2 linked regions of the Oryzias latipes genome follow. The protein of the gene in region 2 interacts with the protein of the main gene of each other region in a pairwise test. Links are inferred from orthologs where the notes say so. Each region holds a gene or a part of one and is shown on either strand. Other genes may lie near its edges. The genes, in order: pfdn4 and vbp1.

Region 1 (4,622 bases), on a different chromosome or scaffold from region 2:
AAACGTTACAGTTTTGTTAAAAACGAATCATTTAAAGCAGGTCTTCACAATGGGAGACCTGTAAGGAAGCCATTTGTTAAACTCTGCTGCACAACCCTTTTGTTGACATAAAATGACTTCTGTTAATGACAACAAGTCTATTTTTCTTCTCTTTATGAACAAACGGCTGCAGTTTTTGAGAGGTACTTTCTGCACGTTGAAAAAGATTAAACCTTCTTCAAAAAAAGGTGTTTTTGGTGTTTTTAACGTTTTCTTCTGGCATTTTTCGGATGACGGAGGTTATAAAGAAAGTCACATTTCTGAACAGTTGTTGATTCAAATGGTTGTGAACCAGAAGAAGAAGAAGTCTTGATGAGCTGGCATCTGACTCAAAACTGTACGGCTGTAGGTTGGGGGCGTGAGGGGCTGTAAGCTACCAGGAGAGCAGGTAAACCGAAAGCTCTATACAACTATGAAAGGAAGGAGCCCCACCCACAACTCAAAAGCAAATTTCTAATGAATTCCTGCTGCTCTGCAGACACTATGTTCTACACTATGACACAGTTTTTTTTTTGGTTATTCTTATTTTAGCTAAAACTGCACGAACATAATTGAAAACCACATGGGAACACTGTTAAAATGGATCCAAAGATGATCAGAGTCAGTCTTTAAAATTGCACAACGTCGTAGTCTTCCTTGAGCATTTTTACCTGTTTGATTTGGGTCAATGTACAATTGAGAAGAGCCATTGCTTGGTTGTCTCGGTTTTTTTGTTTGTTACCATTTGTGTTATTTGCCTCTTCTGTTATAGAAGTGTCAGAAGAAGTGCTGTAGCCTTTAACTTTAACATGTTGGCCTTTGATTTTTTTTCTAATCTTTATATAAGAGCTGCACTGTGGTGTAGTGATTAGCACTGTTTTCTCCCAGCCCTGGTTTGAATCCCAGCTGGGTCCTTTCTGAGTTGGTGTGGTCTCCTTGTGCACACTGACTTCCTCCCACAGTTGACAAACATGCTTCATAGGTTAATTGTTACTCTGAATTGTCCCTGGATGGGAATGTGGGGTTGGTTAGCCCTGCAACAGACTAGTTACCTGTCCAGGGTGTACCCCCGCCTTCAACCAGTGGTGGCTGGGACAGGCTCAAGCAACCTCTGGTTCCCAAAGCAAGTTTAAAAGGCAGATGGGTGAATTTTCTATGTCAGAAAAAAAACAACTTCACCAATTTCTTTCTGTGCTTAATTTAATTTAATTTGTTTTAATTTGTTTTAATTTAATTTAATTTAATTTAATTTAATTTAATTTAATTTAATTTAATTTAATTTAATTTAATTTAATTTAATTTAATTTAATTTAATTTAATTTAATTCTGCATGGTCACATGTGCCACCATTAGATGGTGTATTACTGAGAAGCACTTTTAAAACAAAGAAATACTTTTCCAAACTCAAATCTTTTTTGTCTTGCTCATTTAAACACATTTATTTCGTGTCAAGCTCCTGTTGGCGTTAGAAGGCGTTCAGTGGGTTGTGTAGTAATAACCATCCAAGCCGCTAGGTGGCGGTGTCGCTTAACCTCTCTGTGCAGCAGCAGCGTCTGTTTCCCGTCGAAGAAGGCACGATGGCAGCAGCCACCATGAAGGCAACAGCAGTAAGTGCCTTTTTCAAACAAATATTCTGTTTTCTTCCTTTGATGATGCTTTTTTTTAATTTTAGTTATAGAAACTGTTCAAACAAGAGGTTCTGCTTTCAAAGTAAAAGAGTCACTTGCGTGTGCTAGTTTTGTTTTAAAGCGGCGGTTTAGAAACGTGCAGCGTTAGCTAGCTAACTCTAATGAATCAGAAATGTAACTGCTAGCTCTGACATTTACGACAATTATAAAATAGTAACAATTAAAGAGGTGGCACAACGACACACACATGATAGTTAACTTGTCAAGCTAACTCTATCTAAAGCTTTTGAGGTAGTCTCTGTAACGTGCAGTGTTTACTTTTTTCAGGGCGTTGAAGACATCGTGGTCACCTTTGAAGACCAGCAGAAGATCAACAAATTTGCCAGGAACACGAGCCGGATCAAGGAGCTAAAAAACGAAATCGAGGCAAACAAAGTAGGTAGAGGAGAAATCCTACAACTGTGTTGACCTACAGGTTGAACAAAATATAGAAAAGTAACTAGAATTTACCCTAAAAACTGCAGGTGGATAGACGAATTTAAAGTCACTGCCTTTATTTATTATCATTGAGTGATGCTTTATTATGAAAGAACTTTTCTCTCCAGAATCGTAATGTTATGTACAAATGTTGGCGAGGCATTTTGAAACACAGCTGGATAAGCACCAGTTGACGTGTTTTGTTGTTGCTTTCGCTCATCTTTAACAGCCGCTTGATGTCTCCTCTTAGAAAACTCTGCAGAACCTGCAGGACGCCAGTGATGACATCATGATGCTGGATGACGACACCATGCTCATCCCGTACCAGATCGGTGGCGTTTTTGTCAGCCACTCGCAGGAAGAAACGCAAAAGATGCTGGAGTCTGCAAAGGTCAGCCTGAAATGATTGACACTTTGTTTGACACAATTAGCAGTCAGACAGACGCAGATGTGCAGTTTAAAAAAAGAAGACAACTTTAACTTTTTTTTGTCTTTTTAAAGATTAGAGCAAAACAATAGATTTCTGTTTATTAGACTGCTGACCAAGCAGCAGAGAAACAAGGTGACTTACTCAGACTGGATTTCACTTCTATCACATTGAGGTCTGTGACTACTTTAGTCTTAAAAGGTCAATAAAATATTAAGCAATTTTGCAGAAGTTCCTTGCTTCAGATATACTTTAACTTTAACCTTCAGATATACTTTAACCAAAAAAGTGGATCCACCTGGATTAATTTTAAATCACAACAATGCTATATATATATATATATATATATATATATATATATATATATATATATATATATATATATATATATATATATATATATATATATATATATATATATATTTGGGGGATATATATATTTGGGGGATTGTTTTTACAGGTATTTTTGTGAGCAGCAAGCAGACGATATTCAAAACCTTTTAAGAAGACAATTTGATCTTGCACGCATTTACTGGGAAGATTTGTCGTTGATTTACATGATCCAAAAATGTTACAGTGTGAGAACGAGTGGCCGTTAAATTCCCTAGGTTTATAGACGGACTCGCAGAAGTTAATAGAGAACTGATTTCTTCTGGCAGAGGAAGTAGAGTAGAGCTGTTTTAAGAGCACACCTTCCAAAACAACCATTACCATCTGTAAAAAGTTGCTGTTTTACTCCTTTTGTCCAAATCAGTTTGCAATCTACGCCAAGATTGAAGATTGATTAAAAAACAAAAAAGAATAAAGCTCAGGTGTAGTTCACAAGGTGGCCACTAGGTGGCCCCCTTGCCCCCTCTACTTGAACTTCTCTACAGGAACAAACACATTTTTTTTTTATCCCAAAACCTGACAAGGATCCTAGACTTATAGACAACAGAAGACCTATCACCTTAAGAAATTCAGACTACAAATTATTACCGTACATTTTCGCTTCTCGTCTCAAGACCGGACTCTCAGGACTTATTGCGGAAACACAATCTGGTTCTCTGAAGGGCCGTTCAATTCATAATAATATAAGACTGGTTATGGACATCATTGAATACCGACACCTTATAAAAGATAATGGTTTTATTCTCTTTCTGGATTTTTACAAGGCCTTTGATTCAGTGGAGCATCCGTTTATAATGACAGCACTGGAAAATTTGGGTTTTGGTACTAAATTTAGAAACCTAATCTATGGTCTATATCAGAATATCAATAGCTGTGTTATCCTTCCTAATGGCACCACCCCAAGTTTCAAAGTTGATGTAGGGATCCCTCAAGGTTGTCCCATCTCTCCGTATCTGTTCTTATTAGCCACTGAAATGTTGGCAATTTATATTAAGAATTGTAGTGAAATCAAAAAGTTAAATGTCTTGGGCACAGAGATCATTATTAGCCAGCTAGCAGACGCCACAACACTGTTTTTAAAAGATGAGCATCAAATTAAAGCAGCTATTGAAAAAGTAAAACACTTTTCCAAAGCATCAGGGTTAAACTTACATTTAAAGAAATGTGAACTGTTGGCTATTCATGACACACCTTTAAAAGAAATCAATCATATCCCCATTAAATCAGAAGTTAAATACTTGGGCATCTATATCAACAAAGACCAAAAAATAAGGCAATCAAGGAATGTGGGTGAAAAACTTAATGAATGTAAGACGAGGTTGAATATGTGGCTCCAAAGAGATATTTCGCTGTTGGGTCGGATCTATCTGACAAAGATGGAGGGTTTGTCTATATCAGTGTTTTTCAACTAGTGTGCCGTGGGAAATTGTCCTCATTAACTGATCTAAAAACATTTTCCATCTCCAGGATTTCAGCTCTCTGTTCATTCATACAGGCCCTGATAAAACACTGAGGAGTTAGGAATATAAAAGATCATAAAATACTTTTTCTTTGCGTTTATTTTATTTTATTAAACACATTTGATAAGAATGACTGTACAGTACCGCGATTCAGCTGCAGCTCCGGCTGTATTTTGGAAAAGTCCCGCCCCTTTGACTGTCTCCACCAATCATTCTTGGGGA
Region 2 (3,825 bases):
TACAAAATTACACATGTAGTTTTCTCAAAAGCTAGGTTTTACCTTCAACAGATAACAGAACCACAAAATCTTTGAATAAAATAAAACAATGCATAACAATCATGAACAAAATCTGGATTCATTTTTGTATTAATTAAGTATTTTACCAAATATACAATTACATAAATATTTAATTTAAATGTTAAAAAACATGCTTTAAATTTTGAAGATGATAAGACAAACCATCTGACTGTATTCATCATTGGCCTGGGTGATAAAATGATATACCGTATTTTCACGACCATAGGACCCACTGGGTTATAGGGCGCAGTCTCCGTTAAGAGTGATTTTTTGGTATTTAACACATACAAAAGGCGCACTGGGTTTTAAGGTGCGGGCACGTTAACACATACCGGCACAACATGCATGCTAGTGTGTGTTAAAGAAAAAGGCAGCGGGAGCAAAACTGAGATGGTTGTGATTTATTTTTCAGTCATCAATCACCATCCAAAAATCCATCAAAGTCCTCATCTTCTGTATCTGAAATGAACAGCTGGACTAAATTTCTATCAAACACGCTAGGTTTCCTTTGGTCATTGTCGGAGTCCGTCTCGTCGCCGTGCGGCCCCTCATGAATATTGCCTGCTTTTAGCCACTTCGAAAGCAGTGCAAGCAAACACGTTATACCAAGCTTCTACAATCCATTCACAAAATATGGCACTGCCTCCCACAACAATAAAAGCTGTGCCCCGTTATGTGTATCCTACCGCGCTGCTCCCGTCCTTCTCGACAGTGTGACTCACCGGGATGTCGAAAGTCAGCGGCGCCTTGTCCATGATGGTGATGTGGCTGGGCTGGGGGTGTCTGTCGTCGATCTTTTTAATGCAATACGAGCGGAAGATGAACAGCTTTTCATTATAATCCGCTGGATGTCGCTGCGGCACCGTAATCCTCGCCCGGATGAAAAGATAACGTTGTTTCATAAAACAAAAGCAAAAGCTTCCTCTGTAAGCGTTACTGCCCTCAGTCGTATGGTGAGTGCGGAGAAGCTTCTCCAAGCTGATCACTAATCGTTAATCGTCAATCGAGATGTTTTTTTTCCTGCGGAAACTTAGCTGCGTCATCTTTACTGTCAGAGTTCATTTTCCAGCTTCCTCCACTTGTGAACCATGCATTCATTCATCTTGATTCTCTTGCAGATGCTCCCATGTTCCTCCGTGTAGCTAATAGTTTGCAGTTTAAATTGGATTTCCGGGATTTTGTAACAATATTGTTGACGCCCACACCTCCCTCCCCCGTTCTCATGCCGTCTTCTACGCCCCACAAAAACACATTAGGCGCACCGCCTCATAGGGAGCCCCCTACATTCTGGAGAAAATTTAAGACTTTTAAATGTGTCTTATGGTCGTAAAAATACGGCAATAATCAAAAACATACTATTTTCAGGCTGTTTTTTTTTAAATTAAATTTTAAAATGCCATCACCTGAAAGCAGAAATAGGAAATCTGTCCTTATTTTCCTCAGCATGTTTGTCATCTAACTGTAAACTCAAATTCAATCAAGAAGTGTTCATACTATTTATAAATTACTTTTATGCAATTTCATGTGTAAAATGTTATAATTTGGCCGGTAATTTAAAAAAAAAAAAAATCAAAAGCTCTTGCAGGTTTTTCCAGCCATGACCTTTGGTCATTCAAATCCTAGAACTTTTCAAAATATTCCAGGGTTTTTGCCTCCATTGAAATACATGGGAAATCCTTGGTGCAAAAGCTTGCTGGTTCGATTCCCGGTGCTGATATTTTTCACAATAATATATTTTTTGTTATTGTGCCGTTTTTACTTTATGGTCAACTTTGATAATTTCTTTTTTTCTTTTAAAATTTTTTCTTTTGCCAGTTATTACCCTTTAAATTTCATTCCGCAATATAGCATTGAACCCTGCATTTTGGTCTAGAAATGCAGCTTTTTTTTTTAGTTTATTATTTATGTTCTCGTTTGAACTTAAAAGGTTTTGCTTTAATTTTCAGTGTAGTTTTCTTAGTTATCTGAAAAAAAAAAAATATCTGAAAGTTGTTCCTTCAGTGCATCTCTTATGTTTAAAGTATTGTAGATATTGTTAGATATTTAGATATTTGTTAGATATTTCAGATCTTACCATGACAATTTACTGACTGAGGAAAAAAAAATGTTTTTTAATCAGATTTTAAAGTGGGATCTTAAATATATATAATAAAGGATTAGAAGAGACACGTTTCATTTTCACTTAAATATTAGAAATAAATTCAGTTAGCAATAAGATGAGAACACAAGTTTTTTTTAGCAACAGTGTGACCATGACCTCTACTCTTGTCATCTGTGCAGACAACACTGAAGGATACTGACTTCGGTGGTGGTGAACTGGTCTCGCAGGAAATCCAGATCGTCCTCCAGAGTCTCTAGGTTGCGAGACGCTGTGGACAAGTTCTTCTCTAGGAGAGCCTGGGCTTCATCAATGTCGTACTCTAACATGACATTAGCCTAATGAGAAAGCAAAAAAGGATACTCATTCAATGAAATAAAAGCATTAAATCGCTGCACTTAGCATTAATAGTAAAAAAAAAGAAGACATTTAATTATGTCCAGTAGGCCTGCACAATATACCGCAAATTTATCGTTACCGCAATATCAAGCCGTGCAATATGCATATCGCAAAAGACAGCAAATTTGCAATAAATGGTTACCTTAGGTGTGGCCAAACAATCTTATGCCAGCTAGAAGTATTTAATGGATTGAAAGAATCCCTTTCTGCATTTGACCAATCAGATGGACCCCTTCACGTTGTTAACTAATCGGATGGCGCCCTATTATGTTGTATGTTCGCCTCCTGCGTCAACAAGGGTCGTTTGTACTATAATTTTTAAGCTGTTGTAATGGAATGGGAATAATATTTTTGGTTGTTTTGCTAATTGTTTATATACCGCAAATTATATCGTTATATAAGTTATCGCAATATTAATTACTAATATCGCATATCGCGAGTTTTCTTCATATCGTGCAGCCCTAATGTCCAGGGTTGTCTCATTTACATTGAGACTAAATGAAAGCTTGAGAACTGTGGATCTGAGTTCTACTTACACCTAACCATAAACAGACTTTGTCAGTGGGCGGCACTGAGGCCTTGCAGTAAACGCTGTCAGCCAGTAGGAAATGTGTTTCCATGGGTTCTGTGGTTTTCTGGAGGCAAAGCACAAATTATTAAAACCTAATCTATTGTGAAGTTGTGTGGTTGGTATGCTATGACCATTTTAAACTGTTACGAGTCTGCTTCTTTAGACTAGTGTGTCATTGGTCAAAATGCAAGTTTAACTTTGTCTGAAACAGATTCCAGTGATCTTTTACACAATACCAGCAGAAATATCAATTTTTTCACTTTTTAACGTATTTGTGTATATAAATGTTTTTTTTCTAAAACTTCATAAACAGCTTGTAAAAGCAATTTTTTTTTTGTCAAAAAAAAAAACTGCAAATACACATCTTAACTACTTTTGCAAATCAAACTCCACATGACAACACCCTTCAGCTTGTGTTCCAGGACAAAATTACAAGGTGGATGAATGAAAGTCTCACCTTTTTCTTCTGCATGTGTCGTAGAATTTCTAGCGTCTGTGTGATTTGTGGGATCTGATTTTTCAACCTCAAGAGAAAGATAAATAAGTAGTTTTTGTCAAGTCAGCAATGAATTCAGGAAATCAGTCAAGAAACAAAATAAATAGATGACAATGTTTTAATGTCCATCATAATTAAAATATTAAACAGCACAAACGTAAAAATATTTTAATATTTATGGAACGTCATTATGGATCCACT

The links.
Region 1: the proteins of vbp1 (region 2) and pfdn4 interact in binary tests that used the Homo sapiens proteins (3 or more experiments, as listed by UniProt). The link is inferred for Oryzias latipes from reciprocal best matches to the Homo sapiens genes VBP1 and PFDN4.

What each region holds. Positions count from the first base shown.
Region 1 is NC_019865.2:24,677,237-24,681,858, reverse strand, and holds the start of pfdn4 (prefoldin subunit 4), read left to right. Parts: upstream 1-1,512; 5' UTR 1,513-1,595; coding exon 1,596-1,625; intron 1,626-1,973; coding exon 1,974-2,081; intron 2,082-2,373; coding exon 2,374-2,514; intron 2,515-4,622. UniProt on the Homo sapiens protein: Binds specifically to cytosolic chaperonin (c-CPN) and transfers target proteins to it. Binds to nascent polypeptide chain and promotes folding in an environment in which there are many competing pathways for nonnative proteins.
Region 2 is NC_019876.2:19,815,100-19,818,924, forward strand, and holds part of vbp1 (prefoldin subunit 3), read right to left. Parts: intron 3,653-3,825; coding exon 3,586-3,652; intron 3,193-3,585; coding exon 3,094-3,192; intron 2,497-3,093; coding exon 2,358-2,496; intron 1-2,357. UniProt on the Homo sapiens protein: Binds specifically to cytosolic chaperonin (c-CPN) and transfers target proteins to it. Binds to nascent polypeptide chain and promotes folding in an environment in which there are many competing pathways for nonnative proteins.